Linked DNA regions of Danio rerio. The protein of the gene in region 1 interacts with the protein of each later gene in a pairwise test. Links are inferred from orthologs where the notes say so. Each region holds a gene or a part of one and is shown in the gene's direction. Other genes may lie near its edges. The genes, in order: hspb1, hnrnpd, bag3, ppm1aa, stub1 and pelo.

Region 1 (5,442 bases):
ACTAAATTGTCTGGTGTGTGTGTGTGTGTGTGTGTGTGTGTGTGCGTGCATGGGTGTTTTCCACTTCTGGGTTGCTGCTGAAAGGGCATCTACTGAGTAAAACATTTGCTGGAATAGTTGGTGGTTCACTCTGCTGTGGCAACCTCTGATAAATAGGGGACTAACCCAAAGGAAACCTACATTCATCTTTACTGCTTTACTATTATTTATCTTCCAATATATGTAATGCAGTGGTATTTTGAAAACATTTTTAAGTGTGCCAGAGTGTCCAAAAACCTTATGATAGTAAGGTTTATAATATAATTAAGTATAATATAAATAAAGGTTTGCTCTGCTTTTTTGTTTTTTGTTTTGATTTTGCTTGTTTTGATTTTGTTTGTTTTGTTTTGATTTGTTTTGGGTTTAGATTTGATATGATTTGATTTGTTATGTTTGGTTTTGATTTGTTTTAGGTTTTATTTTCATTTGTTTTGGGTTTTGATATGATTTGATTTGATTTGGGTTTTAATTTGATTTGACCTGATTTGATTAAATTTGATTTAATTTGATATGATTTAATTTTGTTTTGGTTTTATTTGTTTTGTTTTGGTTTGATTTGTTTTGGGTTTTGATTTGATTTGCCTTAATTTGATTTTATTGCATTTGATTTGCTAAGCTTTGTTTTTGATTTTATTTTATTTGATTCACTTTGTATTTTGTATTTTGTTTTTGGTTGATTTTCACTTTGTATTTTGTTTTTGGTTGATTTTCACTTTGTATTTTGTTTTTGGTTGATTTTCACTTTGTATTTTGTTTTTGGTTGATTTTCACTTTGTATTTTGTTTTTGGTTGATTTTGTTTCATTTCTTTTGCTTTGCTTTGTTTTTAATTTGATTTGGTTTGCATTTTGTTTTGGTTTGATTTCCTTTGTTTTTGTTTTGTTTTTTGCTTTGGTTTGATTTAGTTTTGTTTTGCTATATAATAACATAATATAATATACAGGCAGGGTGTGTGAAAAGTGTTTATATACAGTCAAGCATTAAATTATTCATACCACTAGCCAATTCTAACTCAAAGTTTTTGTTCAAATGTAAAATGTAAAAAATAAAACACATAAAAATTCTGCATTGAAAAAAAAAGTCCATGATTTCAATGGTTAAAAATGCTACGGTAAAAAACCATAACGATTTTTGTAAATTATACAGTATTAACTGTGGTGTGAACTGTATTTTACTATACTGTAAAAAAAAATAATAATAATAATTATATATATATATATATATATATATATATATATATATATATATATATATATATATATATATATATATATATATATATATATATTTATTTATTTATTTATTTCACACAGCTCTACAGTTTCAGACATTTCGAATAATTAATACAAAATAATATAAAGATAAATAAGTCTGTAAAATAACAGAAAATGTAATAAGGGCAGTTTATTATAAGGTTTTTGCAGCGTAATATACAAGACAATACATCACTTTAAACTAAAATAATAATAAAAGTCAAGGTTCAGAGTTGTTAAAAGAAAGATCAAGCTCCCAAAATGCAATTCAAAAGTCACAAAATACAAAAAACTTGAATTCACCAACATATTGTTCACAGTCCAGTATTAAATACACACTATCAGCCTTTGCCTCAGATTCCTTCCTCATGCGAGGGCCGTCCCTGAATAGACTTTCTAGTCACTTCTATAATTATCCGGACGGGACTGGGCTGTTGCAGAAGTGTCCTGAAGTGGGTGTGTCCTCCAGAAAGCCTTCTTATAAAAGTCCCAGCCCCATGCAAACAATCAGAACACACACACACACTCTGAACCGAGCCGAAAAACAACTCTTCAAAACTTCTGCAGCAATGGCCGAGAGACGCATCCCATTCTCCTTCATGCGCAGCCCGTCCTGGGACCCGTTTCGGGACTGGTATCAGGGCAGCAGACTGTTCGATCAGTCTTTCGGGATGCCTGCTTTATCTGAGGAGATGTTGACGTTTCCCAGCACGCACTGGCCAGGGTATATGCGACCATTCGGACACCCCGAATTTGCTTCTTTAATGCAGGGCCCACCTGTGATGCCTCCTATGATGACCCCGAGTTACGGACGAGCCCTTTCTAGACAGCTGAGCTCTGGGATGTCGGAGGTCAAGCAGACCGGAGACTCTTGGAAGATCAGCCTAGATGTCAATCACTTTTCCCCCGAGGAGCTGAACGTTAAAACCAAAGACGGGGTGCTGGAGATCACTGGTGAGTTTATTTGGTTTGATTGCATTTTGATTTGATTTTAATTAGATTTTCTGATCTTTTTGTTTTGATTTGATTTAATTTGGTTCCATTTGATTTGATGTTAATTTATATTGTTTTAATTGAATTTGATTTGTTTTAATTCTGTTTGATTTTATTTTTTATTTGTTTTGTTTTGGTTTGATTGTGTTTGATCTAGTTTGATTCGGTTTGATTTGATTTTACTATTAATTTGATTTGATTTGATATTATTTTAATTTGTTTTGTTTTAATTTGATTCTGTTTGATTTGATTGCTTTTAATTTAATTTCAATTTATATTTTAATTGAATTTTATTTGTTTTGTTTTAATTTTGTTTGATTTGATTTGATTCCATTTTAATTTATTTTATATTCATTTAATTAGTTTTGTTTTGATTGTTGAATTAAATATCATTTAATTTATTTTATTTTACTATGTATTATTTAAATTTTGTTTTGTTTTAATTCTGTTTGATTTGATTCCATTTTATTTTTCATCAGTTTAATTTGTTTTGATTTGATTTGATTCCATTTGATTTGTTTTTTTTCTGTTTGATTTGATTCCATTTTATTTTATTCTAATTTATATTATTTTAACTTGATTTGTTTTGTTTTTATTTGAAACTGTTTGATTCTGTTTGACTTCATTTTATTTTATTATCCATTTATATTGATTTGATTCAATTGGATTTTTATTTTATTTCATTATCCATTTGATTTGCTTTATTTTCTTTTGATTTGATTTGAGTCCATTTGATTACATTTTATTTATATTATTTTAATTTGATTTTATTCTTTTTGATTTGATTCCGTTTCGTTTGGTTTGATTCTGTTTGATTATTATTTTTTATTACAAAATTTTGTATTATTATGTTTTATTCTATTTTATTTTATTTGGTTTGATTTCATTTTATATTATTTTATTTCATTTTGTTTTGATTTGATTCTGTTTGGTTTGATTGAATTTGATTTGGTTTGATTTCAATTTATTATCTTTTTTATTTGATTTCATTTATTATGATTTTTTAAAAAATTATATTATTATTATTATTTTTTTTAATTCTGTATGATTTGATTCAAATTTAATTTTATTATCCATTTAATTTAATTTTATTTCATTGATTTTACATCATTTTAATTTGTTTTGATTTGATTGCATTTGTTTTGGTATGATTCTATTTGATTTGCTTTAGATTTTATTACACATTTGATTTGATTTTAATTTATACTATCTTAATTTTAACTATTTGTTTGGTTTTTATTTGAGACTGTTTGACTCCGTTTGATTCTGTTTGACTCGATTTGATTTCATATCCAAATTGCAATTTTTATCAAAATAAATTATTAAAAATATAACTTTTAATAATTTTGTATTTAATTTAATGTCATGAATGTTTATCACTTATTTACAGAATGTCTTCGATATTGTATCTAGTATCATAATTATGATATTATTTAAATTGGCAGTTTTAACTTCATATATTAAAATGATGACTTTTTCCCCAATATTTGACTTTATGACAGTGTCTTTTTTGGCTTAGTCAGACCTTTTAATCACGACTTGTAAAATATGTTGGATTAAAAATGCTATTCAAAATAATAATGACACCCCCCAATGATTGTGTTTGTCCACATTTGATCCAACTTTGTGTTTTCCAAAGCATGCTTTATTATGTGCACAATTACAGGCTTGAGTGAGGAAGAGAGGTGGTCAAGTGTGAAATAAATGCATGAATAACAGGCCTTGCTGGGAGACCTTTTGTATTGTGTCGGGTGGGAGCTGACAAGAGCAGCCAGCTAAATTCCTGAGATATTACGACGCCGGAGCCAAGCACAGTTCAAAACAGCATCTGCAGGATATTTAGAGTTGAACAAGGATAAAGCTATACACTAAAAAAATCTGCATCCTCAACCTAAGGCTCGGATGTTTAGTTTACCCAAAAATGACAACTGTTTCATCATTCACTCACTTGTTTTAAACCTATTCGACTTTCTTTTTTCTGTTGGGCATAAAAGAAGATATTTTGAAGAATGTTGGAAACCTGTAACCATTGACTTCCATAGCATTTGTTTTTCCTACTGTGGAAGTCAATGGTTACAGGTTTTCAGCTCTCTTCAGAATATATTCATTTGTGTTCGAGAAGAAAGAACATTTAAAAGGTTTGAAAAGGTTTTGTGTGAACTATCTCTTTAATACTCTTACTATAAAACATTAGCAGTAAAATATAATCTTTAAAATGCTAATTTCTTTGCTTAAACATGCATTTATGCAAATATATGCTCTATAAATACAAGTTTGACTATTTTTCTAAATATTTTTATCATTTAATTAAAAAAAAAAGTTACAATTGGAACTTTGCAAGAACATATTTATTTAATATCTAATACATTTAAGGAATGAAGCATATCTTTTTTAATGCAATTCTCCACTTAGCCTGCAGTGGACAACCTTTCTGGCTATATTTTCAATTATTAAATATGTTAATATGGCAACATATTGCGCTCTTCAGACTTTACATGAATAAATCTGACAGAGACTCCTCCCCCTCCCCATCAGTCACTAATAAACTGTATTAAATACCTTAGTTATTACTACAGTAAACTGTGGTGTATTGTAGTATAAAGGGACTTTGACTATAGAGTTTGATTCAAAACACAGTATTTACTATGAATTACCATATTTAAACTTTAAATATATAATATTCTGTTCGTTTTGATTTAGTTTGATTTAATTCAGCTTGATCGCATTTTATTTATTTTATTTTGGTTTGGTTCGATTCAGATCAGTTTGATTCTGTTCAGTTCGGTTTGGTTTGGTTCGGTTTGATTGCATTTTATTTAAATTTATTTTATTCTATTTGATTTGATTTACTTTGATTTGATTCGATTTTATTTTGTTTTATTTGATTTGAATCAATTTGATTAGATTTAAATTAATTTGATTGAAAGGAATTCTGTTTGATATTGATTTGATTTGATTCTGTTTGGTTTGATTCATTTTGATTGCATTTTTAAAATTTTATTTTATTTTTATTTGGTTTGGTTCGATTCAGATCAGTTCCATTCAGTTTGGTTTGATAGCATTTTATTTAAATTTATTAGATTTGATTTAATTTGATTTAATTCGATTTTGTTTGATTTGATTCAGTTTGATTTTAATTAATTTGATTAAAATAATTC
Region 2 (5,376 bases), on another chromosome or scaffold:
AGGTCAACAGAGCAGCTATGGCAAGGCCTCACGGGACAGCGGAAACCATCAGAACAGCTACCAGCCGTATTGATGAAGTGGCGAAACAATGGTAAGATTGCCTACTTGCTGCGCTCTGAGCTCGACCTCAATATTAAAGATCAATAGACAATAAACTAACAGCCTAAGGAGTAGAGTACATGTCTATAGATCTTTAATTGCACCTGTTTGTGTAGCCATTTTGCTTTTTTTAGCGTGCCAGAAAAGCGTAAGCGTTTTTCTGTAGGTTTTTTCCATTTTCTCCTCCTGCTTTAACAGGTGATCATAAAGGAATAACATAGAAAAAGTTGATAGCAATGCTAACAGGTAATGTACGGCTAAAAGGGTACAGAGTAAAAGGCGCCTCTCCTTATTTTTCCTTTCTTTCCCTAATTCTGATTATTGTACCTTGTTTGTACCTGCCAGCGGGGACTTCATTGCAGGCCGTGTGTCACCTGACCACGTCATTCTCTGGGCGTCGCACATAGCGGGCAGAGAGCACGGCATGCACGAGAAAGCGCTGTCCTGTGGTATGGTCTCTTCCAACTTCCTGTACCAGCGTAAAACAAACAAACAAAGGAGATTTTCCCCCATTTCATTAAGTTGTTGGTTTTCGTTAACAGTTCCAAATGTTTTTTTCCAGGACTTTGTTAATGTAACCTAAAAGTGATTGATAACTGCTTTGTTGTATGCTCTTTTTTTCAATTGTAGTGCTCTTGTATTTCAGTTGTGGAGCTTCAGTGATTGATTTATTAATTTATTTCTTTGTAATGTTTGGTTTTTGGTTACCTCCCCATGTAAATAATTGCATAAACTCTCTCATAATGCTTGCTTTTTCTTTAGAGGCCATAGAGAACTTCAAATGGGTACACCTCAGTGCTTTTTTCTTAAGCATAGCCTTTAAAGATCATATGTAAAGTGAGTTTTACGAAGCCATTAAAAGCTGAGAAATCTGATTTAAAACAGTTCAAGGATTGGCTAAAGTTTTTAATAACCATACCGTTTACACAGGATAAAGGCTAACCTGTTTGGGCTCGCTCCTCGATTGGTCCACAAACCGCTTGGAGCTGAGGCTTTTGCTGGCTTATGAGCTGTTCTGTCAGTCGGAGACGTTTAACATATGATCTTTAATCCTTAATGATGGTTTTCCTAGTTTAAAATCGACAGCTCAAGAAGTTAAACACTGAAACATGGACGTGCTTTGCTCGAGGTGTGGAAACCGGGTGATTCATCTCTGCTCTCTTCTCTTGTAGGTGGGCAGGTTGACTTCGACATTGCTCCTCGGAGGCAGCTTGTGTGGAATCCTGTCCTTAAACAACTATTAAAAACGTTATTCGGTCCTCTGGGGACAAATCCAGTGTCTAACCTTGTAAATAGCGAGGTGTTTCGTTTCCCAAGTTTGTCTTATTCTGTGCTTTGTTCAGATTGAACCTGTAGGTTTTGTGCTGATGTGTTCTTAAGTCTTGATTAGGAAAAGTGTCCTTTATTTTGTATTTTTAGTTCTTTTCCTGACGTTTTTGGATAAAGGGATTAAAAATTCTGAGAAAACCAATGTTTCTTTGTCGTGTGATTATTTTATACAACATTTATGACTAAGTTTTTTTAAAATATGTAATGTACATATAATAATTCAATATTATGCATTTAAAAGGTTTGAGATAAACAAACTAGATTTCCAGCCCTACAGCCAATGAGCGTGAAGCGACGTTGACGTATTTTGTAACCTTAGTGACGCCATCCCGTTCAACTTCCGGTTCTCCGCCATTTTGTGAATGGACGCCGTTGCCATCGACATTCTGAAATCAGACTAATACAAACGCGAATTTGAGCCGCATTAACACGATTTATAGGCATTTCGCTTCGGTTACGACCTAAGACGTTTTCGTCTGTAGAAACGACTGTAGCCGCGCGTGTTTTCGCCAATAGTTGATCAAATATGTCGGAGGAGCAGTTTCTGGGCGAAGACCCGACGATGAAGATGGAGGAAAATGATGATGGAGAAGGTTTCGGCGAAGAGCAGATGTCGGGGGATAATGGAGGACAGGGAGAAGCCGAGGGCTCCAAGATTGATGCCAGTAAAAATGAGGAGGACGAAGGGTGAGTTTCGGCTCCTGATGCACCATGGGAACAGACTGTAACCGAAGAATAAAATAACCTTGAGTTCATACATCGCTTCCCAATAGTAGTCGATTAGATGAGTAATTATCAACAAGGAATCGTTTTATATTAATTTAAAGTATTATAATCATTGCATTAATATTTGTGGTCATTATGCAATATTAATATCGTTATCAAAAGTGGCCGGTTGTGTAAATAACATGAATATGTGTGTCGGAGTATCGATTGATCGCTTTGCATACGTTTGTAGTAATTAATGTGGACTATCAATTGAAATGCTTTCAAAGCATTTGGTGATTTTAATGTAAATGAAGGTTTATTAAAATGTTTTCTATCTTTTGTTTAAAATATAACTTACTAGTCATATCCTAGTACAGGGTATCTGCTGTGTCTAAAATTGTCTTGAATCTCAAAAGCTAAATTTTAGGCTTTAAGAAGTCTAAATATACTGAAACATCGTGTTGTAGGTCTTAAATCTTTTTAACAGGTCTTAATTTTCCCTTGTTCATGTGTAGCGACCAAATCTAGCCATTAACAGCCATACATTCCCAATCTCTATAAAAGTCGTTTTAAAAATAACATTTATACCATAAAGTTATTATTACTTACAGTAACATTTGTTTAAAAGTTACTGCCAAGGATACTGACCTGACCTATATATTTTCATCAATAAATTATTATTATTGTATTATTAAATTTAAATACAGTGGACAAAAGGTAAAAATATTCAAATGAAAAAAAATCCTTAGCATTTAGCCTTGTATATTTCTAAAATTTCATTCATAATCTTCTTAAAAAATCTTAAATTTAACTTGTTGAAAGCGGCAGAAACCCTGTAATATTGTGTCATTTACATGCATTAACAATGATCAGTTAAATTTTTATTTAGTAAATTGATGAAAGAATAATAAATACTTTAACAGATGTATTGCCCGTCTCACTGTAAAGTGTTCCCTAATATTCGTTTGATAGTTCACCCTAAAATGAAAGACACTCAAATGGTTTCAAACCTTTTTCAGTTGAACACAGAAAAAGATATTTTGAAAAATGTTGCCAAGCTGTAGCCATTGACTTCCATAGCAGGAAACATATACTGTGGAAGTCAATGATTTCCAAAAATGTTCAGAATATCCTTTTTGTGTTTTTACAGAAAAAAAAAACTCATTGAGGTTTGTTCAAGTGGAGGATGAGTGAATGATGACAGAATGTTCTGTTTTGGGTGAACTGTCGCTTTAATGGACAGCTGCAAGTTGACTCATTTTCCAAATACATTTGCCTTTCAAATGCAGCTTTGTCAAATGTCAATTTGACAAAAGCATATTTTGAGAAACTCGGATTTAGAACTGAATGGTGTTTTTTTGTCTAGTATGCATAAATGAATTACTTTATGACAAAACAAGACTGAAATATAATCATCTATGGTCGGTTGCAGAAACTACTTAGACTAGTCATACAAGGTAGTCATTGTTTATATAATTATTATTTCCTATAAAGACTGGTCATAACTACAGGTATACACGTGTAATAGTCAATATGGAAAGTTAATAAACATCAATTATTTTGCTGCTAATCTGCAATGCTAATTTATTTTTAAAATGAAAATTAAATCTAATATTTATGGTTGTTTTAATTTTTGTAAGAAAATAATGAAATGCTTCTGTTAATCAACAGATTCTCTTGACTAGCCTGGAAAGATACTCCATCACAGTTACATTTTCAAATGCACATCATAGACCATTTTATGGGACGTAAACAAAAACAATAGTCCCAATGTATTTCCTGTTTTACATTTTTTATTTCTGTAGCTTTCGAGAATCCAAAAAGAGCCACATATTGATAAATGATGTTATGACAGCTATTTTATCAAGTTACGATTGAATTGCCTCTTGTTACAGTTATGAAATAGTTTGATAACATGCAGGAAATGTTCATGGGCCAATGACATGACCACATTGAAATGGTCTATAAGCGACTCAGACTCAAATGCAGCATTCGCGAAGACGGCATTCAGAAGAGCAGGATTTATTTACAGTGAACCGAGGTGCACTGAGTCTAAAAACACTGTTATCATGAGCTGCTTATGTTAAAAGTCACAGTGCTGCACATCACATTACATATAATTACAACCCAGTATTTGCTGTCTGACAAACATGCTAATCCATATCATGTTCTCAGGCATTTTTAGAATAAATGAAATGAAGTAACCTATTTACTCTACTTTGGTGTGTTAAGTTTATCCCTCCCGAGTTGAAATCTGATTAAAATCAGATAGAAATCACTCTAAAGAGATAAGTTTACCTCAAAATTAAAACGTTCTCACTATTTTCTCAAGCCTCAAGAGATTCCAAATCCAAACCTTTGAGTTTTTATCTTCTGTTGAACACAAAAGATGTTTTGAAGAATGTTGGAAACCTGTAACCATTGACTTCCATAGTAGGGGAAAAAACAAATACTATGGAAGTAAGGGGTTTTCAGCTTTATTCAAAATATCATTTGTTCTGTTCAAGTGGAAGGTAAGTAAGGAATTTGCACTATTTCCTTTTTTGAATTGTTTTTTCTTTTCCTTTAAGGAAAAGTTTTTTTTTTTTGAAGAACAAAAACAATCTAAGCCCACAATAGCATTCATTTATTGTTTCTGGAAAGTTCTCCGTCCACACCATATTGCTTTACTAAACAACGTACATCATGTGACCATACAATGTATGTTCAAGTATAAACAGGAAGTATGTGCTTCACTCAGCATGTGGTTACTAGGCAACTAGGGCTGTGCGATTAATCAAAATCGAATCACAATCGTGATTTGAATCGTTTCGATTAGCTAATCGCAAGAGGCTGCTATATGAAATATAAATTTAACTTCCCCCACCCAGAGCAAATGCATGACTGCCTTCTGTGTGTGACAGTCTTACTAGCCAATTGAGTGAGCTTACTTTTATTCTGCCCAATCAGAATTGCGCAACCGAACTATGCAGAACGCCCACAATAAAAACAAACAGGAAAGCGCGAACGAGTGGGATGATAGCATCTGCCGCTTCAGAAGCATTAATAGACTAATTAATGTTAAAGAAAATAAGCATGTCAGTAATATGGGAATATATTGGTTTCAAAGTCACAGACACCAAACAAAACTTGGTAATTTGCAAGAGCTGTTGCAGAATTGTGGCCACAGCATGAGAAAATGCAACAACCAGCACCTAAAAAAGTACCACAGGTGACGATATGAGGAGCATTTTGCTAAAA
Region 3 (4,914 bases), on another chromosome or scaffold:
GCATGGTAAACAGTATAGGAAGGCTGTCTTTGTTAAAAAATTAACCAATGTGAATATAAAAGCAACTTCAGCTCAATAAAGCAGATAAAGCAATAGAGCTCATAAAACTGAAAATAGTCGCATCAATCTTTTGCTGAGAGATTTCAGTGATCGAACAACATGTCTGTGCATATAAGCAATTCAAAGCACAACAGAGTTTAACATAAGCTTAGCCTGACTAAAATAGTTTTAAAACAGAACATTACCTGTCTAACAGTAATACTTCGGCTATGGTGTTGTCCTTCCTCCAGCGTGCAAAAGTAACTCCAATATTGATTCAGACAAATAACAGACAGTTACCTGTAAAATAACATTTATTTTTTACAGAGCACAGTTCACACAAAAATCACTTTAACATAAGCAAAATCTGTGTGGGAAATCTTTTAATGTTGAATTCAATTGAAATGACTGTATTTTATCTGCAAAATTAGTCTGAATACAGTAAATGTGACCATATCTTTTTTATTCATTAGCCCCTTGGTGAAAGCCCCTCTTTTAAATTATGTAATTGTGCTGTTTCAACATCAAAATAGGTGTTTTGTGATGATATGCTAGGGATTTTATCTTGTTTGATGTTTGTTTTGTCTATGCACCTCTAATTTACATTGATGAGTAAGGGAGGCCCTCCCCCTCACAAAGAGTATTTTAAGACACAGTGTCAACAGCACAGAACCCCATTGAAAAATGCTACCTAGAGTGAGTCATGGCATTAGAATCTACAGCATACAGGGTATATCCTGTAAGCCAATGCAGTCGCTTAACAGTTGCTGTGCACAGTGAGTTTTACCCACTCATATTTCATGCTTAAATCCTGGACTGCCTCGTCATTGAGAGAGGGCGGATTGACCTTTGCATGTCAAACAGATGAGAAGAGACGCAAGCCACAGTCGGGCTTTAAGATTTACATTTACTTACTGGAATAATGCAGTGACTCAACACGCTAGCAAGTTGTTGGTTGATTGCCCGCAATAACCTAATATCAATTTACGTTAGACAGATTTACAACGGCTGAAAGTCGCATGTGACTGAATATGACTAGTTGTAAAAGCCTACAACTTGACAGTGATGTGAGGCTAACAGGAAAGATTTAGCAGGTGTAAAATACTGTTAATCACATGACGTAATGCATCATGCCTAATACTAGAGTGACTTTTAGTTCACAAAATGGGCATCATTAAACTGATAGCATTATATAAAGCATTAGTGCCCACTGTTTAACAGCACTGGTATAGCCTCTTTTACCCATACGGATATTTTATAACATCTTTGTTGAAGGGTTGTAAGCTATGAACCAAACTAAAAATGAGGTGAATCCCACAGTTAAAACTGCTTTAAAAGCAAAGAAATGTTTGTAAATCAGACTCAAAGACAAAAGTACAAGAACGGCTTGTAGCATTTCAAAGGACTTAATGGAATTATACTGTAAATATGTAAGTACTATGAGTTGTAGAAGTCTTTTGAGATGGTTTATTCACACAAATAGTGTTTTTTCATGTTGTCTCTACACAAATTGATTAAGTTAACTTAATTGTTTTTACAAGTTTAAGTTAATTGAACATAAAACAATTAAGTTATCCCACAAAACCCCTCAAGAATTGTGTTGATTCAGCTCATTATAAATAAGTAGTTTGAGGAAGCAACAAAATATATTTTTGAGTGTGCTAAGTTAAATAAATGTGAACAGATCCCAGCACGCACAGGATGTCAACATGACGTCAAATTGATGTTGTACTCAACTGTTGTGGGACGTTGCATTTTGTTTGAAAATAAAAATCAACCAAATATCAAAGTCTAATAATTTTGCAGCTTGACGTTGTGTGGACATTACCACCATGACGTCTGTCAGACGTTGGATTTTGGTTCCCGTACCTAAAAAATAAATGTCAGTGTAGGACGTCAATCTGATGTTGGTTGGCTCGACTTTGGTTTTTTGATCACTTTTTAACACAACATACCATCAACCAAATATCAACATTGTTATTGGACCTCACAATATTGTTGTCCTTAGATGCTGGCTAGACAACCTAAATCTAACCTAATAATAATGTCTTATGATGTTGTGTGCCTGCTGGCATTTGTTAAACAAAATCATTGATTAACAATAGTGGAGCTCAAAGATATATTTTTTAAAGAAATCAATGTTCATATTGAGAAAATCAATGAATGAATGAATGGAGTGTTTACTTCCAGAACCACACTGCTGAGTTAAATATTATTTTAAGGGATAGTTCAGCCAAAAATGTAAATTCTGCCATGATTTACTCTCCCCCTTTCTTCTGTTACTTGTTACAAAGGAAGTTACACTGACGAATGTTTGGGGAAAAAAAACTATTGACTTCTATATTATTTTCTGTTCCTAGTATGGATGTGAATAGCTGTTTTTTTAACTTTCTTCAAAATACCTTGTTTTCTGTTTAACAGAAGAAAGAAATTCATAATAGTTTAGAACCACTAAAGTAAGAAAGGCAAACTTCATTTTTGGATAATCTTTAAATACAGTATACTAGACAGTGTCTTATTAATACACAGTGATTTCTTATTATGGCGACACAGTGGCGCAGCAGGTAGTGCTGTCACCACATAGCAAGAAGGTCGCTGGTTTGAGCCTCTACTGGGTCATTTGGCGTTTCTGTGTGGAGTTTGCATGTTCTCCCTGAATTCATGTGGGTTTCCTCTGGGTGCTCCGGTTTCCCCCACAGTCCAAAGGCATGCGGTACAGGTGAATTGGGTAGCCCAAATTGTCCACAGTGTATGAGTGTGAATGAGGGTGTGTGGATGTTTCCCAGAAATGGGTTGGGGCTGGAAGGGCATCCGCTGCGTAAGAACGTGCTGTATAAGTTGGTGGTTCATTCTGCTGTGGCGACCCCGGATTAATAAAGGGACTAAGCCGTAAAGAAAATGAATGAATGATTTCCTATTATGTTTATAAAAGTGTGACTACACTGTAAAAATTCTGTGGTTCCACACAATGGGGTATATTCATAGGCTTTTCTTTTCAGTCAGCCAGGCCCAGGGCTTCTGGTGAATTGTCATCTCACACAAAATCTCAGCGTTTTAAATGTGATTTCTTTAAAAAAAAAAAAAAAACAGTGATCATCTCTGCCTAGCTGAGATACGATATTTAGTAGGTCTCAGACCAAACAAGAAGCACTGCGTTAAATAATATCCGTGCCGTGTCTTTAAAATATGAAAATTTATTTTACCCCAGTATTTTTAATGGAGTTTCTGCGCTAGCCTGCTGCTAATGACGGCACCTGCATCTTTTATCTTTTTTTACGCTTTAACAACTAAATGGATGCTTAAATCTATTTAACTGATTATATTTGAAATACATCACAACATTGATGCTGTAAAAGCAACCTTATGAAATTGAAAATAGTCACATAAACCTTTCACCGGAAGTTCATCATTGGCTGAAAAACACTAGCTGTGCATATAGCCCATTCCTTCATGTTGTCCCAACACAAATCGATTAAGTTAACTTAATTGTTTTTACAAATTTAAGTGGATGAACATAAAACAGTTAAGTTGTCCAAAAAACACAAAAGAATTGTGTTGTTTCAACTCATTTTAAATAAGTAGTTTGAATAAGCAGCAAAAGTTGTTTTATTGAGTGTAGAAATGTTTGTCCCTATTTTGGTTTTTACATTTGCAGCAGTGTTATTTCACAGACAACACCTACATACCATTACCCCTGAATTGTTTTTTTATGTCTTTAGTCATAGCCAAGCTATTGGAGCAAGTCAAAGAATTTCGCCATGATGCTTGTAATGACAGTATTGATAACTGGAGCTTATTCAATAACCCAGTCAACTGCATGCTTTTGTTATTTGCCTTCTCCAAAGCAATTTCACAGACAGCTACTAAATACTTCACAGCTAAAGAGTATCATCAGATGTGATGTTGTTTATCAGGCTTGTGTAGACCGGCGTATAAAGAATTGCTGGCATTACGGTGTGAAATATTTCACCCAATTGCAATGGAAAAGAGTTTGAACTGTTTACGTTTTCTTGTTTCAGATTTTTTCCAATGGTCCTTCAATGTCCCCAGAGACTCCTCAGGACATGCACAAAACCTTTATTAATGAGATGAGGCAGCCAATGCTCCGGCAGGGCTACATCCCCATCCCTGTCTGTCATGAAAACCCTGAACCCAGGCTGCAGCAGTATCCTAGTTTCTCCTACATTCATCCAGCGGTGCAGCAGAATCTGAGAACAGATGGACGTACACCTTCCCCAACGCCAGCAGCACACTGTCGGCCTAGATCTCCAGTGCAGACCCCATCAGAAGCATGTTCGTCTTGCTCACCTACTTCACACGGGCCTGAGGTAAGATCATGAGAAAGCAATCTATAGAAGTGGCAGTCTCTGTCTTGGGTTTATTGGGAAAGGTTTGCATTAAGAGGATAGTTCACTGTAAAATTGGTTGTTAATTTACTTGCCCTTGGGTCATCGAATATGTCGCTGAGATTTTCTTTAGTAGGATTTTAAAGAAAATATTTAGCTAAAACAGCAAAAAAAGGATATCGAGGCAAAACAAAACAGATATCTCCTGTTGATATATTGAGGTTTCGTGAAACGTGAAACAAAACTTCAATCAGTGCAGGAAACTAAATATTATTTACTATTACATTTATGGCACAGCCTAAAGAAAACTTTTAATTTATCTCAGAGTTAAGTCAGAATAAATGAATAGCTAATTTTTTACTTTTATGAAAATTTCTTCATTTGTAAAATCTTCCTGATGCCCTGACTTTTCATTTAAAAAAATGGTGTTTAATAGGGTGTTGAAAAATTACATCTGATGAAAATTGTATATAAGCATTTCATTGCTGAGTCTCTGTTTACTATTTAGCTTATTCATTCATTCATTCAT
Region 4 (5,532 bases), on another chromosome or scaffold:
AGGGCACTGATAGTTCGTGTTAGAGAGTGCAAATTCCACATCTTGCAGAAATGCGTCAGCACTTGACTTTGTTGCATAATAAATAGCCCAGAGGTTAATAGATTTATACAGCAGCACATTTTTATACACTGTAAACTACAAACGTATTACAGTATAAAAAGAAATGTGCTCATACTACACAATTCTAGGTGAAATCTGCGGTTTTACCTGGTGTTTTGCCGAACCTGGCCGCCCATAACAAAGTCAGATCAGCGTCGGCGAAAATGAAGCGTATGAACTGCACTAGTAAATAAACTGCGGTCCCAGCAAGACCAACACACAGCCAGCATATATCCATCGAGACACTTCACTTGTTATGCCTTCACAGAGTGACGGAAGCACTGGTGAAACTTGCGCAACCGGAGCGCTGACAAATCCCTGCGCTACAACTTATGACATGCTTAACGGCTTCTTCCGAAACAACAACTACCCGGTAGCGTCTGTGTGTGATTCGAAGTCTTCCGGGTCACATCCCTGTTTCTGGTACTCACTGGAGCAGCTGAACATCGATTATTGCTCTGTTGGCTACATAGACATAAGAAATTATAATATTGTCTGTGGTTGGCTATCTATCAGACAGACAGACAGTTTATAGATAGATAGATAGATAGATAGATAGATAGATAGATAGATAGATAGATAGATAGATAGATAGATAGATAGATAGATAGATAGATAGATAGATAGATAGATAGATAGATAGATAGACAGACAGAGACAGATGGGTAGGTTTTATTCATGTTATGTTTTGTCTTTATTTTAATATATTTATGTTATCAAAAAAGAAAAATGTATTCTTTGTTGTTTTATTGCAGTAATGAAACATTTAAATTTTTTACAAATATTTTTACCCTCAAATAATCTATATAAACATATATGTTATAATTTAGATTTTTAATATATGTGACATATATAAAATTTGCCATTTTCCTATATTATATGTGCATATATAGGGAAACAGATAATTTTATATGTCACATATATTTAAAACCTATATTAAAACATATGTTTATATAGGTTATTTCTGTGTGAGCTCTCACTTATTTGCCATAGTTAAATTTCATAACATGACAATTACATGTGATATAAATTTCAAGTGTTCACACTTACATAATTATTATTATTTTTTTTGCATTTTTTGTTAGTTCTTAGTTAATGCCTTGAAAATATGAGCTAGGCATCATGTATGACAGTTGCCAAAGTGAAATATGAGCTATATAAGACATGTCTTTTATATGCAGGGCTTATATGTGGATATAAAGAAGCGATAGATGAGACCTATATGACCTGTGTATATATATGTACCTCAATTTTGCCTTTATGTGGCATATATATGCATGCATTGTATATATCATATATGTGCATATATACTGCATATAGGTTTCATATATGCACATATATCCTTATATAGGTTGTTCCATGTCGGTACTCACCTTACCTGTTACCTGTTGGAAACCACCAGTAGCCATTGACATCCACAGAAAAAAGAAAAATGATACATGATATAAGCAATGCAATAAACTATTAATTTAGGGCTCAAACCTTATCAAGAGCACATGAAATATATGTTCATCTTTTCACCTAACATATTATCATGCATTTATAACAGTGTTTCTGTTATTACCTGGCACTGAGAGCTTGTTTTCAGCCTCACACATGTTAGGGTTTTTCAAAAATGACCAGTGATAGACAAATAAAAAACGCAGGACAGATGATTTAGAGACAGTGGTGAAAGAATTATGTACATGAAGGAAGGTGCGAGACAGAATGATGTACAGATGGAGGGATGAGGTTGATGGAGGGATGATGATGATGATGTCATTCTTTTAAGTGCGCAGCCCTGCTGAATCCACATCCGGGTCCTGCGCTGTTGCTGGTGTGCAGAGATTCGGTCCCGACCATAGCGGACCAAAACAGCGGTCAAACCCGAACACTTTTCATTTTCCACCAACATTCAGGACGTAGAATAAATGGGAATGATGCATCCCTGGTTTAAACAGATATGGGTGATCCGCTGTTTCACTGACTGAATGCAGAGCAAAACAATCCGCCAGCCTGTCTCTCTCTCACCACCGCCGCGCTCGCTTTATATCTCTCTCTTTCTTTTCGTCCTTCTCTCTGATCTGTTTTTTTACCTCCTTCACCACCGAACTCTCCAGGACTGATTTTTAGGGGGTAAGTGTTTGTGCTCTTGTAATATACCTGTGTGTGAATGACAGAGCTAGCCTGTTAGCATGTTTGCTAAGGGAGTAGGCTGGCGTTGTGTGAGCTCAGCGGTCTGACCTGCCGTGTGTGGCCTGCGCATGGTGCGCTGAGGGCCGCAGGTTTGGCAACTCAAGCCCGCGGATTCACACGATCCTCCAATTAGCATTTAGCGTGCTATTTTGTCCTGGCTCAGATATTGAAAATTATTTTTGTTGGGCACATAGCCAATTATATGTGCTGATTACATGCGCTGACATATTTCATGTTGTTTAAATATTTCGGTCGAATCGATTGGTCCCAAACGTCAACGTTAGCGTGAAGCTAGCATGCTAACAGGCTCGCGACACCATGACGTAATGCGGAATACAGGCGCGTGAACGTGCAGCAGGTCTGCACGGGCAGAATTTCAGTTCACTGCTGTTCAACGCTAAGGGCAAAGAACATTGATTGATCATATCTCGCAGTAAACCATGAATTTACTTTAGTAGTAAACCTAATCTGAGTCTAGATCATATTTACAGTGTGTATCAGTCAAACGCGTACATAGTTCAAGGCTGGGGTTTTGTAAATGGCACTGGTTTTGTGTTTAGACTAAGTCGTAATTGATGTGAGCGGTGAACAATGGTCAGAATGCATCTGTACTTATCTATTTTTAGTATGCGAGTGTGTAGTGTGCTTAGCGGTGTGTTTGCTGACAGCCATACATGGCTGGAAAACCGCTTAATGTGTGTCCGCCTGCCTTTGTGATGGTGTGTGTGTGTTTACACTTGTTTCTTGTTCCTGGTGGCATGCCATGGTTTATTTCTAAAGTGGCCACTGGCATGACAAGACTTTTGTAGTTTCAGTCGTCATGAATTATAAATAGAGGGATTGTGCTGGGTGTGTTACCTTTCGTGTGTGTGTTTAAAGTAAAAAATATTTACAATTTACATTCAAATTTAATGTAACCAGTTGTTAAAATCAGGAAAAAACAAAAATGCCCTTTTTACATAGAAATCTCGGCTCTAACTCGGCTTTCTTGTGTAATGATAAACTTTTGTCTAGTGATGTATGTCTGATTTCTCTATCTATTTAGTTCAGAGGTTCTCAAACTTTTCAGCCCATGACCCCCTAAAATAACAACTCCAGTGACTCACCGACCCCACTATGTTTGGAGGTGGTTATACGCATACAAATATTGCACACAATGGTGCACACACCAGTGGGAACTATATGAACACAAGCATATTGGCAACACAAAAAAGTGCAACAGTATTACAACGATATATATATATATATATATATTTATTATCATTATTCATTTGTTTAATTTAATATTAACCTCATTTAATGCGAATGGTGAGCACAATGTTTATAGCAAAAGACTTAGTTTATATTTGGAGACTTGGAACCACTAGGAGATCATCCTCCTTGTTCAGTCGTGGCCTTTATTTGTAATGTATGTGAGTGCCATTAAATTGTTAGTTTAGTATTGTACCGCAAAATCAATCTGCTGCAACTAACGATATTGCTCTGATGGTAATCTAGCACAATAACCCTAGGGGTCACAAATAAAATATAATAATTGATAAAATATGATAATTTTAATAGTTTAATAAAATATATGAGATTTTTAGAAAGTCACCAAGGTCCCGACAACCACTTAATAAGAAAACCACTGATTTAGTCCACCAAAACCCTACATCTTTCTTCCAATAAACTGCATGCTTGGATTCAGAATCGGATTCCTCCATCCAATCTACAAGCAAATTCCCATTCTGGTTTATTTTTTATTTTTATCTCTTCCACTCTATATTAGAAAATCTATTACTTTTCCATTTTATAACAACTTTAAAAAATATTTACCATCATGTGGTTGCATGTAAAGAATATACTTGATTTTTTTTAAACCAGTATACTTCAAAATCTATAGTTGATATTATTGTACATATTAGGGCTGCATACTTTGTTTCAGCATGGATTTCGCAATATGATAATTTGCAATAGACACATCGCAGGATGCAATGTTGAGTCTGAATTATAAATTTTCATTTGTTTTTGAGGCCTGTGACTATGAGGTTTTTTAAAGCATCCAGGCATAAGAAATTGTACCATTTGGAAGACTGTGCTGTATTATTTGACATTTTATTTTTCAATTACTGCACCACAATATTCTTAGACTCCTCAGAAAATGATAAAACACTGTTTATTTCATTTGTATCATTTTTTATTGCATCCAAGTACACTTGTAGATTGTTTATTATATTTTATGGAGATGCATTCCATACAGAACTATCCCAATCAATCTAAAATGGTATATTCTTTCCAAACAGAGCTATCAAAGCCGTCTGGGAAAGATGTGCTCATATCACAGAAAACTAAATTATATTGTGTTTTGTATTAATTCAGTAACAAAAATCATAAAGGTTTGGAACAAGCGGAGAGTGAGTACATAAAATAAATTCAGAGTAAACTGTCATTTAAATTGGCCTGTTCTATTATGTGCATTTATATGCAAGTTAACTACTCTGTACAACTGTATTGCTGGAATAATAACAAGGTTGTTTGATGTTTAACAGTTATTGCATGAAAGATTATGTAACTTGAAAGGTTATGATGAGTAAAAATATCAGTTTATTTTAGTAGAGGTATATTTTTTATTTTTAAAGATAAGCACCATCCAGCATTATCACTGGACAACTAGATATTGTACACAGAGTTGTTTTTATTTGGGCGAATCACGCAGTCTTTTAATTCTGTCCTCTTGGTACACAAATGGTGATGCTTACTATCTACAGTTATATTGTATTTATTGTTTTAACAATGTGCAAGCTGACTCTGGTTATGCTACTGACTTTTAAAAGCACTCACAGCATGCTGGACCTCAATGGAATGCAGTTAGAATATTTCTCAAAGCAAAAAATCTCTGTATTAGTTTTTTAATATTCACAAGAAATATATGATCTACTTAAGTAGTATCACACAAGCAATAGTTTAGCTTTGCTAAGTATCACAGAGTGAGCACAATTGCAGTTGGAAACATTCTCTTTTTTTGTGGGAATAGAGATGGTTCCAAACAAATCGAGAGCAGAGCTTTTATGTATTTCAGAGAAACAGTGGTGTTTTGTTTCTAAATGAATCACATTGGTGTTTTGTTTCTTAAATAAATCAAGAGAGTCAGTCACTGATTCAATCATCCATTGATAAAAACGCTCAACTTGTTTCATTGTGAATAAATCTGCATGTTTGAATGAATCACTTGAATGCATAATTAAAAGTATCCATTAAGACAAGAACTTATTGCCACTG
Region 5 (5,480 bases), on another chromosome or scaffold:
ACATTTGATGTATTTTTATATTACTGTCCATGGCTAAATTATGTAGTTACATAAAAAAAATAATGTTAAAGGAAGAAATTATGGCATTTTTTGTAATTATTAATTTAAAAATGAGCAATTAAGTCTTATGAGTTATTTAAAGGTCAAATTAAAAGGTAAAAAATAGAAATGTCATACTTAAAATCATACAAAAACTCAAAAGTACGATTAGCTTAAGTAGAAATTAAATCATTGCACAATATCTTGAACATTTTTAGTTATTAAATTAATCATCACAAAGAAACTGCAAATGTAGAGTAATTAATGATAAAACTAATGAATTATGTATTATAATTATTCACATTTGTTTACATATACTTTTCTACTTGTCGACTGTTCATGTTGTCCTCATTAAAGTGCATTATATGGTTTATGAACTGAAATGGTGTTTGGTGAATGAGGGCTCTTTTACTGTTTCTTAATGTTAATATATTATTTATCTGAATGTGTTTGGTGTTCAGCAGGAAATAACATTACAACATGAATTTGAGTACATTTATTATTATTCACATCATTTTCAGCAAACTCATTGTTTTGCACCTAAAATATGATGCAGCTATTTTGGGGGGACTTTAAAATATCTCTAAACAAAAACTGAATACAAAATTCACATTTTTACAGAAGAATTAGAGACATTTGACTTATTTTTATAATAAAGTCTATGACTAAATTATGTAATTACATGAAAAAAAAATTTAAAGAAGAAATGACGGCATTCTTCATAAATGTTAATTAAAATGAGCAATTATGGCTTACTCTGAGTTATTTAAAGGTCAAAATTATAAATAGGGTATTAAAAAAAAGAAATGTTATACCTAAATCAAAATTAGAAGTGATAAGAAAGCACATTATCTTGAACATTTTTAAAGTTTTAAAATTAATAATCACAAAAAAACTAAAATGTAGAGTAAAAATGATGATAACACTAATGAATTATATATTATCATCATAATTATTCACATTTTGATTCATGTATTTTTTCTACTTGTCTTACTTGTCGACTGTTCATGTTGTCCTCATTTAAGTGCATTATATGGTTTATGAACTGAAATGGTGTTTGGTGACTCTTTTACTGTTCTTTAATGTTAATATATTATTTTTCTGAATGTGTTTGGTGTTCAGCAAGAAATTATATTGCAATCTGAATTTGAGTATGTTTATTATTAAATTATTCACATCATTTTAGCAAACTCATTGTTTTGCACCTAAAATATGATGCAGCTTTTTAGGGTGACTCTAAAATGTCTCTAAACAAAAATTAAATACAAAATGCACATTTTTACAGGAGAATTAAAGACATTTGATGTATTTTTATATTAAATTATATAGCTAAATTCTATAACTACATGAAAAAAAATATTTAAAGAAGAAATTAAGACTTTTTTTGTAATTCTTAATAAAAAATGAGCAATTATGGCTTACTCTGTTACTTAAAGGTCAAAATTATAAATAAGGTATTAAAGTCATAAGAATTAAAAGTCATTAGAAAGCTCAAAATTATATGCTGAAGTAGAAATTAAGTCAGTTATTTATATTTTTATTACATGCTTTTCTAGAACACTTTTTAAAATGTGTAACCGGAAAAAAACGTGTAAAATGTAGAATAAATAATGATAATAATCAAGCATTATTATTATAACTGTTTTCATATTTATTTATATATTTTATCTAATTATTATTATTATGAAATTAAACTCCTGCACGTCGCCGACAGGTGGCGTTATTACGTTGGCAACGAGCTTCCGATCGTCACCTCCGGCGACGTCACAGTGACGGCAGAGTCAAAACAACCGAAACATGATGCTAGCGTCTCACACCCGCGGGTAAAATGTCGTGTTTTTGAGGATCGCCGATGAAAACGTCGGACATTTGTCATCTTAATGTCATGATCGAGTCGGAATATGAGTTTGGCCGCGTTTCATTCGCTATCAGGGATCCAAAAGTGATCATCAAAGCACCAGTGTCGCTACCGGTTTGCTAACGACAGGCGTCAGTCCAGCAGTCAAACCCGGTACGCCTCAAATAATCCATATTTCATATTCAAACCATCTGATTTAATCTCTAAGCGTGTTTATTCTCAGCGCTGACCTGGTTGTTAGCTTGTAAAGTGTGTGTGAATGTGCTTATGTGTCAGGCACAGGAGTTTAATTTCTGATCGACGTGAAATTACATTTACTCGTTGGTAGTGCTTAATTTTAGTGATTAACTGTTGGATTGTGTGTGTTTTAAGTTCACAGAGCTGCATAAAGAGTCATGAATGATTTCACACAACTGTCAGTGTCCAGATGTGTGTTACTGTTGTCCAGATGTGTGTGTGTGTGTGTGTGATGTACATTAAACAATTCATTTTAATCATTTCTACTATATGAACAGCAGCTCTACAAAAGGTGCACGTTAATACATTTCAATCAAAATCAGAAAAATGTAGAGTATACACTCACCGACAGGAGCTTAATGCATTTAGGCATGTAGACATGGTCAAGACGATCTGCTGCAGGTCAAACCGAGCATCAGAATGAGGAAGTAAGGGGATTTGAGTGACTTTGAACGTGGCATGGATGTTGATAACAGACATGCTGGTCTAAGTATTTCAGAAACTGCTGATCTACTGGGATTTTCACGCACAACCATTTCTAGGGTTTACAGAGAATTCTCCGACAAAGTGGAAATATCCAGTGAGCGGCAGTTCTGTGAGCACAAATGCCTTGTTGATGCCAGAGGTCAGAGGAGAATGGCCAGACTGGTTCCAGCTGATAGAAAGGCAACAGAAACTCAAATAAGCACTCGTTACAACCAAGGTCTGCAGAAGAGCATCTCTGAACACACAACACGTCCAACCTTGAGGCGGATGGGCTACAGCAGCAGAAGAGCACACCGGGTGCCGCTCCTGTCAGCTAAGAACAGGAAACTGAGGCTACAATTCACACAGACTCACCAAAACTGGACAATAGAAGATTGGAGAAACGTTGCCTGCTCTGATGAGTCTCCATTTCTGCTGACACATTCAGATGCTCGGGTCAGAATTTGACGTCAACAGCATAAAAGCATGAATCCATCCTTCCTTGTGTCAGCGGTTTAAGCTGGTGGTGGTGGTGTATTGGTGTGGGGGAGATTTTTTTAGCACACTTTGGGTCCATTAGTACCAATTGAGGGTCGTGCAAGTTTTTGCAAGATACTTGTATTCAGCATTTAAAGGCTTAATTATGTTAACTAGGCAAGTCATTGTATAATGATGGTTTGTTCTGTAGCTAATTGAAAAATATCTTGATTTCTGTAGCGCTTTTACAATGCAGATTGTGTTAAAGCAGCTTAACATAGAAGATTATAGTGATATAGTGATAGTGTAAACTGTCAGTCCAGTTTTCAGAGTTGGAGTTCAGTTTAGATTAGTTCAGTGTGGTTTAATATTCAATACTGAGAGTTCAAACACTGAAGAGCAAATCCATCGATGCGCAGCTCCACAATTCCCAAACCAAGCAAGCCAGTGGCAACAGCGAAGGAACAATCTTCACCAATTGACGTGATTGAAGTGAAGGAAAAAACCTGGAGAGAAACCGGCTCTGTTGGGCACGACCATTTCTCCTCTGACCAAACTGCAGAAAAGCAGTCTAGGCGCCGGAGGCTGGAGAACGCTGGATGTCCATCGTGGAGAAGATGCAAGTGTGAGTAGGTCACCGGCGTGTGTTCAGGCTGGCCCACTTGATAAATGTGAGGACTTGTTTGTCACTGGGGTGATTCAGGCATCAGTCTTATGCTCTCAGCTCCTCCATGACAACCACAATATCTGCCAGGCCCGGATTGGCGAACCGAGAGAATTCCTGGTGGGTCGGTCCGTTTTTTGGCCGTGAGGGCCAGTGTCCCTAGCTGCTTGCACTCTCAGCAGTCACACTTTTTTCATTTATTTATTTATTAATTTGACCATAGCCTCACTCTTTTTTTTTGTTTTTCATTATTTTGCCGCAGCGCCGCTCTTTTTATTTATTTTTTTTCTTGCTGCTCCGTGAGCAAAATGCAGCCTGCAGGTTTACTAACGTTAATGATGATGTAACTAATCATTCGACCCCAAACAGTGGCACCTTAGTGATTATAAGAATTTGAATAATTAATATTAATGAATAATACACCTGCTCAATGAAAATCAGATGATTTACTACATTAAATCTGACAAAACTTGATCAGAAATCTAAAAGGAGAAAATGATTTAGCCATCAAAGTAATACTATGTCTTGCCGTTCACAGTGTAATCTTTATTTTTTATTCCCACTGGAATAGCGCCATTGTGGTCCAGTGGAAAGCACGTTGCGTTGCGAAACTTCCGACCCATGTTCGAATCTCACCTGAAAAATTATTATTATTATTTTTCGTTTTTATGACATAATACTGTAAGGGTTGTTGAACATTTGAATTTCTAAAGCAGCTGTTTTCTCAAAAAAGATGTGATAGTGTCATTAGAAACTGAATTGGAAATGACCTTATTTTAATGTAATCAGTCGAGGTGGGCTGGTCTGGCTTGAAACTCCAGGGCTGAAAATGAGTCCCACTCCGGCCCTGATATCTGCTCAGGATACGGCCTGGTCCAGGATTATGGAGACCTCTAGAAGTGCTCTGCGGTTGGCATCATTTCTTCACAGGTCTTGGATCACATCAATGGCGCTGCACAATCTCTAGAGGCCTCGGGATGAGTATCCCCAGGTGGAAATAGAAAATAAAGAAAATAATTAGCGTAGCTGCTGTTCATAGTGTATTTAAACAAGAGATATTAAAAATCAATGCAAAAATCAAGAGCTATAAATGAAAATAGCACTTATATAAACATAAAAACAAACACGCAAAGCATATCATTGTTTCTAACAAACTGTTTTGAATGTATATTCTTATGGTGGCTAATAAAATTGACCCCATAAGAATATTGTTATGATTTTGCACCTGCATTACTGTGGCTCATATTTTCCTTGTGTGTTTCTGAGAGGTTTGCAGGTAACTGGCTCCCCGGGACCGGCCGGTGCTCACCGAAGAGACGGGGAACAGGATTGGGAAGCAGGGGGGAGCGGCCACCGCAGAGCCCATGGAGAAGATGGCGAGCAGCCCAGAGAAAAGCTCATCCGCACAGGAGCTGAAGGAGCAGGGAAACCGCCTGTTCCTCAGCCGCAAGTACCAGGAGGCCGTCACCTGCTACAGCAAAGCCATCGTGAGTGAGGGGTGCTGGGAACACACAGAGTAAATATGTGTGTCAGTTTCAACAGCGGGGGGTTTAGGAGAAATTCAGACTCACAGAAAGTTCAGAATTATTAAACCTTCTGGTAAATAGTTTTTCCCCAATTTCTGTTTAAAGGACACATTTCTAAACATAATATTTATAATAACTCCTTTCTAATAACTGATTTATTTTCTCTTTGCCATGATGACAGCACATAATATTAGACTAGATATTCTTGAAGACA
Region 6 (4,914 bases), on another chromosome or scaffold:
AGCTTTTCTACCAGTTATATTTTCATGGTGAGGAGAGAAGCTTAAAGGCGGTTGCACAAATCTTCATATTGTTTTACATACTTTACTCAGCAACATGGACACCTCCAAATGGCATAAATGTGTCACACACTGCATCTACAAGGTATAATTCACCCAAAAATGTTGTTACTGTCATAATGCAATGACGTATTTGCGGCTAAGAAATGACCCCTAATCTGACGAATCTGATGTTTACTACTGATAGGACACTAGCCCGCCAATGATGTTAACTTTAGTGAACAAAACCTGCATAGAGTGTGAATAACAGGTAATAAAGTTGTAAACAGCGTTCAGTTTGTTGCACAGAGTGGTCATTTGGGAGCTGCGGAGAAGGTATGATTAGATTGTATGTTTTTTTTTTTTTTTGAATATTATAATCCAACTTTAGAATTATGAATGGTTGTATTCTGATGTCATCACACTGTGCATTAATGACCAGGACATATTTATGTCTGTTTAAGTCCACCATTCCAAGTCTATACCGAATTAAGCATTTTAACCAACATTAGACCTACACATAGGCCTTATATTGTTGTTTTACCATATGTTTCACAAATAACAAAAATAATAGCCTATTCGTATTAACCTTTATTTTAATGTCTACACAATCGTGAGAAAATTGTGATTCTTGATTTTAAGCAAAAAAAAAAAATATATGATTCTAATTTTAGCCAGAATTGTGCAGCCCAACTGTAAGGTCTCAATTCTACACATTAGCTGTTCTAATGTCAATCCGGTCACATTGACCTATGAAGGGTCCTCATTGCTGAACATTTTCATTTTTTCAGATATTTATAACCTTACTCAGACCTCCTTATTCTGTTAATGCTACTGCATTATTATGATGTTTTTTAAGTCCAAGTTTTTCTTTAATCAATAAGATGTTACTTGCTTTTATGAAACAGTTCTTGTTACAAAAGATGTCTCTCAGTATTTGCATATCTCAAAATAAGATGCTTGTTGCATACTAACACTGTGTTCTCTTTCAGGCATTGGAGCGATTTTATGAGGCTGTAATGCAGGGCATTCTGAGACACTTCAACTTTGATGGTATCATTATTATTATAACTTATTAATAATGAAGATAGAAAGTGGATAAACAAACACGGGCATTTGACTGTATTTGTGTTTTTCAGTGGTGAAGTGTATTCTGGTGGCCAGTCCAGGTTTTGTGAAAGATCAGTTCATCTCGTACCTCTTTAAAGAGGCTGTGAGACAAGACTGCAAACTTCTTTTGGAGAACAGATCCAAGTTCATGGTGGTTCATTCCTCGTCCGGACACAAGTATTCTCTCAAAGGTATATTCAAATTTCATTTTAAATTGATTGATTGATTGATTCATTTTCTTTTCAGCTAAGTCCCTTTATTAATCAGGGCTGAAAGAAGATGACAACTTTATGAGAATGAAGATATTAGTGTTATCTACCAGTAAGAAATTAGCCGGTTTGTTGATTTGTGTGATAAAAATAAGCTAAAAATAAATACTAAGAAAACTGAAGAGATGGTATTTGACCCAAAGTATAGGTGACCATCATCAAGTGATTGTACATGACCTTCTTATCACTCAGTCAGAGACCTATAAGCACTTGGGCATTTACCTTGATAGTTCTTTTACATGAAAAACACACAGAGTGTGTAGATTGTATTTTTTTTTACAGAGGTTACATCTTTTTTTGGAGTTAAAAGAAGCTTATGATGCTGTTTTATGAAGCTGTTCTGGAAAGCATTGTTAGATATGGTATCACAGTGTGAGATCTGTGTACAGATCTATCTGTACAGTGTAAATCTAAGTTTATGGATTTCTTAAGGACAGGATGGAAAATTGTTGGGCATGATGAATATTTTAATTCTCAAGTTTTATATGAGAATTGTGTCCTCAGTTTGGTGGAAAGGATTCTGAATGATCCAATTCATTGTTTTGTTTCCACATTATGAACTACTTCCGTCTGGTAGGAGATATAGAGTCCTAAAGTGTAGGTTGAACAAATATAAGAGAGCCTTCTTGCTGTGAGGCGACAGCCCTGCCCACTGCGCCTCAGCACCGCCTGTTTTTATTTTATATTGATATAAAATATAAATGATTAATGTCTGTGTGAAATCAAAGTTTACTGTGTATATTTGGCTAGCTCACATTATTATTTTTTAAGGTAAATCATTAATCTGTGCAAGTTAATACACTGAAATTTTTTATTTTGTTTTTTGGTAATATTCAATGAAAGTTTGACCCTTTCGCTTATGGAGTTGCGGTCCTTCAGTTCACTTCAACCTGAGGGTCTCCATAGCAACTACATATTAATACCCTCTCTAAAGATTTTTGCACACTGAAGTCCAAAATTTTAGTATGTGTTTTTTTTCGTATTTAAAAGCGAAAAATTCCTTGCACACTGAGCCTGATACGTATTAATTAATCCATTATGAAAACATTTTAAACATTTTCGGAGTCAGTTTTAGCAGTGATACTTTTTTTTCTCTCTCTTCTCCAAAGTAGAAAAAGGAATTGGCAGCATATTGTGTTCATCTAATATTGGATGGAAAGGAAGGAGAGTTCAGCCCATTATCAAAGAGCTGCGCTGAATTATCCCGAAATGCAAAGTTTATTTCTTGAAATCAGTGGAATTTTGATAGATTGCTTGTGATTCTTCACACATTCACATACATAAACAGATCCTGAACAGAGATTGGCAGTATGCTTGGAAATTATAATAGATGGCACATTGACGTGTTGAAGCAACGGACCGGAAAGTGGATATATTATATTATATCTTAGGGCAATACTTCAAATGTATGGACATACACGCACACACGCCAAACAGCAGCAGGGCAGAGGTGCGCCAGTCACTGAATCCAGCATATAGGCCAGGGGTCACAAATCTTGTATATGGAGGTCCGGTGCCCTGCAGGGTTTAGCTCCAACTTGCCTCAACACAGCTGCCTAGGTGTTTCAAGTATACCTAGTAAGACCTTGATTAGCTTGTTCAGGTATGTTTGATTAGGGTTGGAGCTAAAATCTGCAGGATACCGAACCTCCAGGAACAAGTTTGGTGATCCCTGATATAGGGGTTCTGAACTATCTGCTACATTTTGTCATTTTATGCACTGTGTTTGTCATAAAGTTATCTGTTACTCAAATGACAGCAGTCTGTATTTAGCTTTTTGCTTGTAGAGTAGCTGTTTTCATCCACCTATTTTTATGTGCATTTTGGATATGCGCATAAAAAAAAAAAGGTTGATGGAAACGGCAAGATGCGCATAAATTTTGAAAATGTGCATACAAAACATATGCGCATAAGTGAGTAGGATAAACATTTTATTCGATAAGAAAATATGTGCATAAACTAAGATGGAAACACTTTTACCGCACAAATTTCAGTATGCGCATGTGATTATTGTTATAAGAGATCATGTGTTGATAAAAAAGTGTGTAAATAGACAAATCATTTGAAAAGTTGTTTTGTTTGTTCTAAATTGTCGTAACCATTTCAGTATTAGTGTTATTACATTATTAATTACCTCCAGAACTGTCAAAAGTGTCTGTGCCCCCAATTTCACGCATTCAAACACCACCATTTGTTCAATGCGCGTCGGCATCGTCTTCTGAAGCGCAAGCCATTTATTAAATTAGTAAAAGATTGACGCAGCTTCTACCGTAGCAAATATCGTTTTTACTGTAGATATTTGCCTCCAGTTAATCTGGAAGTGACAATTTTTGTTCTCTTTGACTGTTTGGATAGAAACACTGCTTTATTCACACGTCTTTGTTGTGAAATTCCAGTTTTGCTCATGAAATTGATTTGAATATTTGGATGGAAACATAGCTGGTGGCTCTGAACTGTCAAAACACTCTCAAAGTGCTTTTTCGGATGCGAAAAGTGGAAAAAAATCAAACCCGGTTCGATTTTATAATGGACAAAAGTTTTGGAGGCATTGTGTCAATACGATTCACACAACATGAGGTTGAATTAATTGGTCATCCTTTATTTTGATGGTCAGTTTGTTAACTTTAAGTTACATTGCATCTACATGCTAACTAATTCTCATTAAATTACAAGTAGACTGTAAGGTTGGGGTTAGAGTTAGTGTAAGTTGACATGTACTTGCAAACTTTCTTATAGTCAGTCAAATGTCTGTTGAATATCTGTATCAAAACTGTATCAACTGTATCTTCTAATACTCAAATGGGCCATCAAGTGTTACCAATTAAATTTTTAACGTACAAAAACCGATTCAAGCCTCATTCACATGACGAGGAACAAGCAACCGTTTATTTCAACGGAGAGTGAGCGACTTCCGGCGACCTTCGTCTACGCGAGTGACCGCTGGCAAACAGGTGGGCGTGTCTAGTGACAAAACAAAGTTGAGAATCCTTCAACTTTATGCAAATGAAGAGCGACTTTTTTTGAGCGACAACCAGTAGGAGCACCAGTAGAGCTCATGTCATCTTTCTTCAGCTCGCTTAGAGGCCGTTTGTATTCTCCGTGCTGGAGACCTACACAGACCTGCTAGTGTGAATGAGGCATCAGTGTGCAATAACTTTTACCGTTAGTTTGTTATGAGGGAATGATGCACAAAAGAAAACCCAGCCCCCTACTTTATTATTTCATTAGTTTTGAGTGCATCCACATAAAGAAGTCTCAGCATCTTCCAGTTCACATGGATTTTAAATATTATCTTTATTAAGAAATACATTTTAAAAGTGTATTAACTTATATGTTTATTTGTGTTTCCATTTATAAATCAGTTTAAGGTTTATGGGACAGCAAGATGGCGCAGTGGGTAGCATGCAAGTGTGCCGCAAGCCTGCGTTTGAGTGAAGGTCTCGGCCGTTAGATCGCCCCCTGGGGGCTGGCTGCAGTACAAGTCATAAAGCCCGCCTTC

The links.
Region 2: the proteins of hspb1 (region 1) and hnrnpd come close enough for resonance energy transfer, tested with the Homo sapiens proteins (2 studies listed by BioGRID). The link is inferred for Danio rerio from reciprocal best matches to the Homo sapiens genes HSPB1 and HNRNPD.
Region 3: the proteins of hspb1 (region 1) and bag3 interact in binary tests that used the Homo sapiens proteins (3 or more experiments, as listed by UniProt). The link is inferred for Danio rerio from reciprocal best matches to the Homo sapiens genes HSPB1 and BAG3.
Region 4: the proteins of hspb1 (region 1) and ppm1aa interact in a two-hybrid assay, tested with the Homo sapiens proteins (2 studies listed by BioGRID and IntAct). The link is inferred for Danio rerio from reciprocal best matches to the Homo sapiens genes HSPB1 and PPM1A.
Region 5: the proteins of hspb1 (region 1) and stub1 interact in binary tests that used the Homo sapiens proteins (3 or more experiments, as listed by UniProt). The link is inferred for Danio rerio from reciprocal best matches to the Homo sapiens genes HSPB1 and STUB1.
Region 6: the proteins of hspb1 (region 1) and pelo interact in binary tests that used the Homo sapiens proteins (3 or more experiments, as listed by UniProt). The link is inferred for Danio rerio from reciprocal best matches to the Homo sapiens genes HSPB1 and PELO.

What each region holds. Positions count from the first base shown.
Region 1 is NC_133180.1:4,131,669-4,137,110, reverse strand, and holds the start of hspb1 (heat shock protein beta-1), read left to right. Parts: upstream 1-1,796; 5' UTR 1,797-1,860; coding exon 1,861-2,245; intron 2,246-5,442. UniProt on the Homo sapiens protein: Small heat shock protein which functions as a molecular chaperone probably maintaining denatured proteins in a folding-competent state. Plays a role in stress resistance and actin organization.
Region 2 is NC_133185.1:5,487,915-5,493,290, reverse strand, and holds the start of hnrnpd (heterogeneous nuclear ribonucleoprotein D0), read left to right. Parts: upstream 1-1,763; 5' UTR 1,764-1,954; coding exon 1,955-2,115; intron 2,116-5,376. Other genes in the region: hnrnpdl (heterogeneous nuclear ribonucleoprotein D-like), read left to right, coding at 3-73. UniProt on the Homo sapiens protein: Binds with high affinity to RNA molecules that contain AU-rich elements (AREs) found within the 3'-UTR of many proto-oncogenes and cytokine mRNAs.
Region 3 is NC_133188.1:28,706,564-28,711,477, forward strand, and holds part of bag3 (BAG family molecular chaperone regulator 3), read left to right. Parts: intron 1-4,058; coding exon 4,059-4,367; intron 4,368-4,914. UniProt on the Homo sapiens protein: Co-chaperone and adapter protein that connects different classes of molecular chaperones including heat shock proteins 70 (HSP70s), e.g. HSPA1A/HSP70 or HSPA8/HSC70, and small heat shock proteins (sHSPs), e.g. HSPB8.
Region 4 is NC_133188.1:34,951,264-34,956,795, forward strand, and holds the start of ppm1aa (protein phosphatase 1A), read left to right. Parts: upstream 1-1,898; 5' UTR 1,899-2,214; intron 2,215-5,532. Other genes in the region: dhrs7 (dehydrogenase/reductase SDR family member 7), read right to left, coding at 208-337. UniProt on the Homo sapiens protein: Enzyme with a broad specificity. Negatively regulates TGF-beta signaling through dephosphorylating SMAD2 and SMAD3, resulting in their dissociation from SMAD4, nuclear export of the SMADs and termination of the TGF-beta-mediated signaling.
Region 5 is NC_133199.1:43,371,510-43,376,989, forward strand, and holds the start of stub1 (E3 ubiquitin-protein ligase CHIP), read left to right. Parts: upstream 1-1,804; 5' UTR 1,805-2,050; intron 2,051-5,006; 5' UTR 5,007-5,104; coding exon 5,105-5,227; intron 5,228-5,480. UniProt on the Homo sapiens protein: E3 ubiquitin-protein ligase which targets misfolded chaperone substrates towards proteasomal degradation.
Region 6 is NC_133187.1:13,767,035-13,771,948, reverse strand, and holds part of pelo (protein pelota homolog), read left to right. Parts: intron 1-1,028; coding exon 1,029-1,089; intron 1,090-1,175; coding exon 1,176-1,337; intron 1,338-4,914. UniProt on the Homo sapiens protein: Component of the Pelota-HBS1L complex, a complex that recognizes stalled ribosomes and triggers the No-Go Decay (NGD) pathway.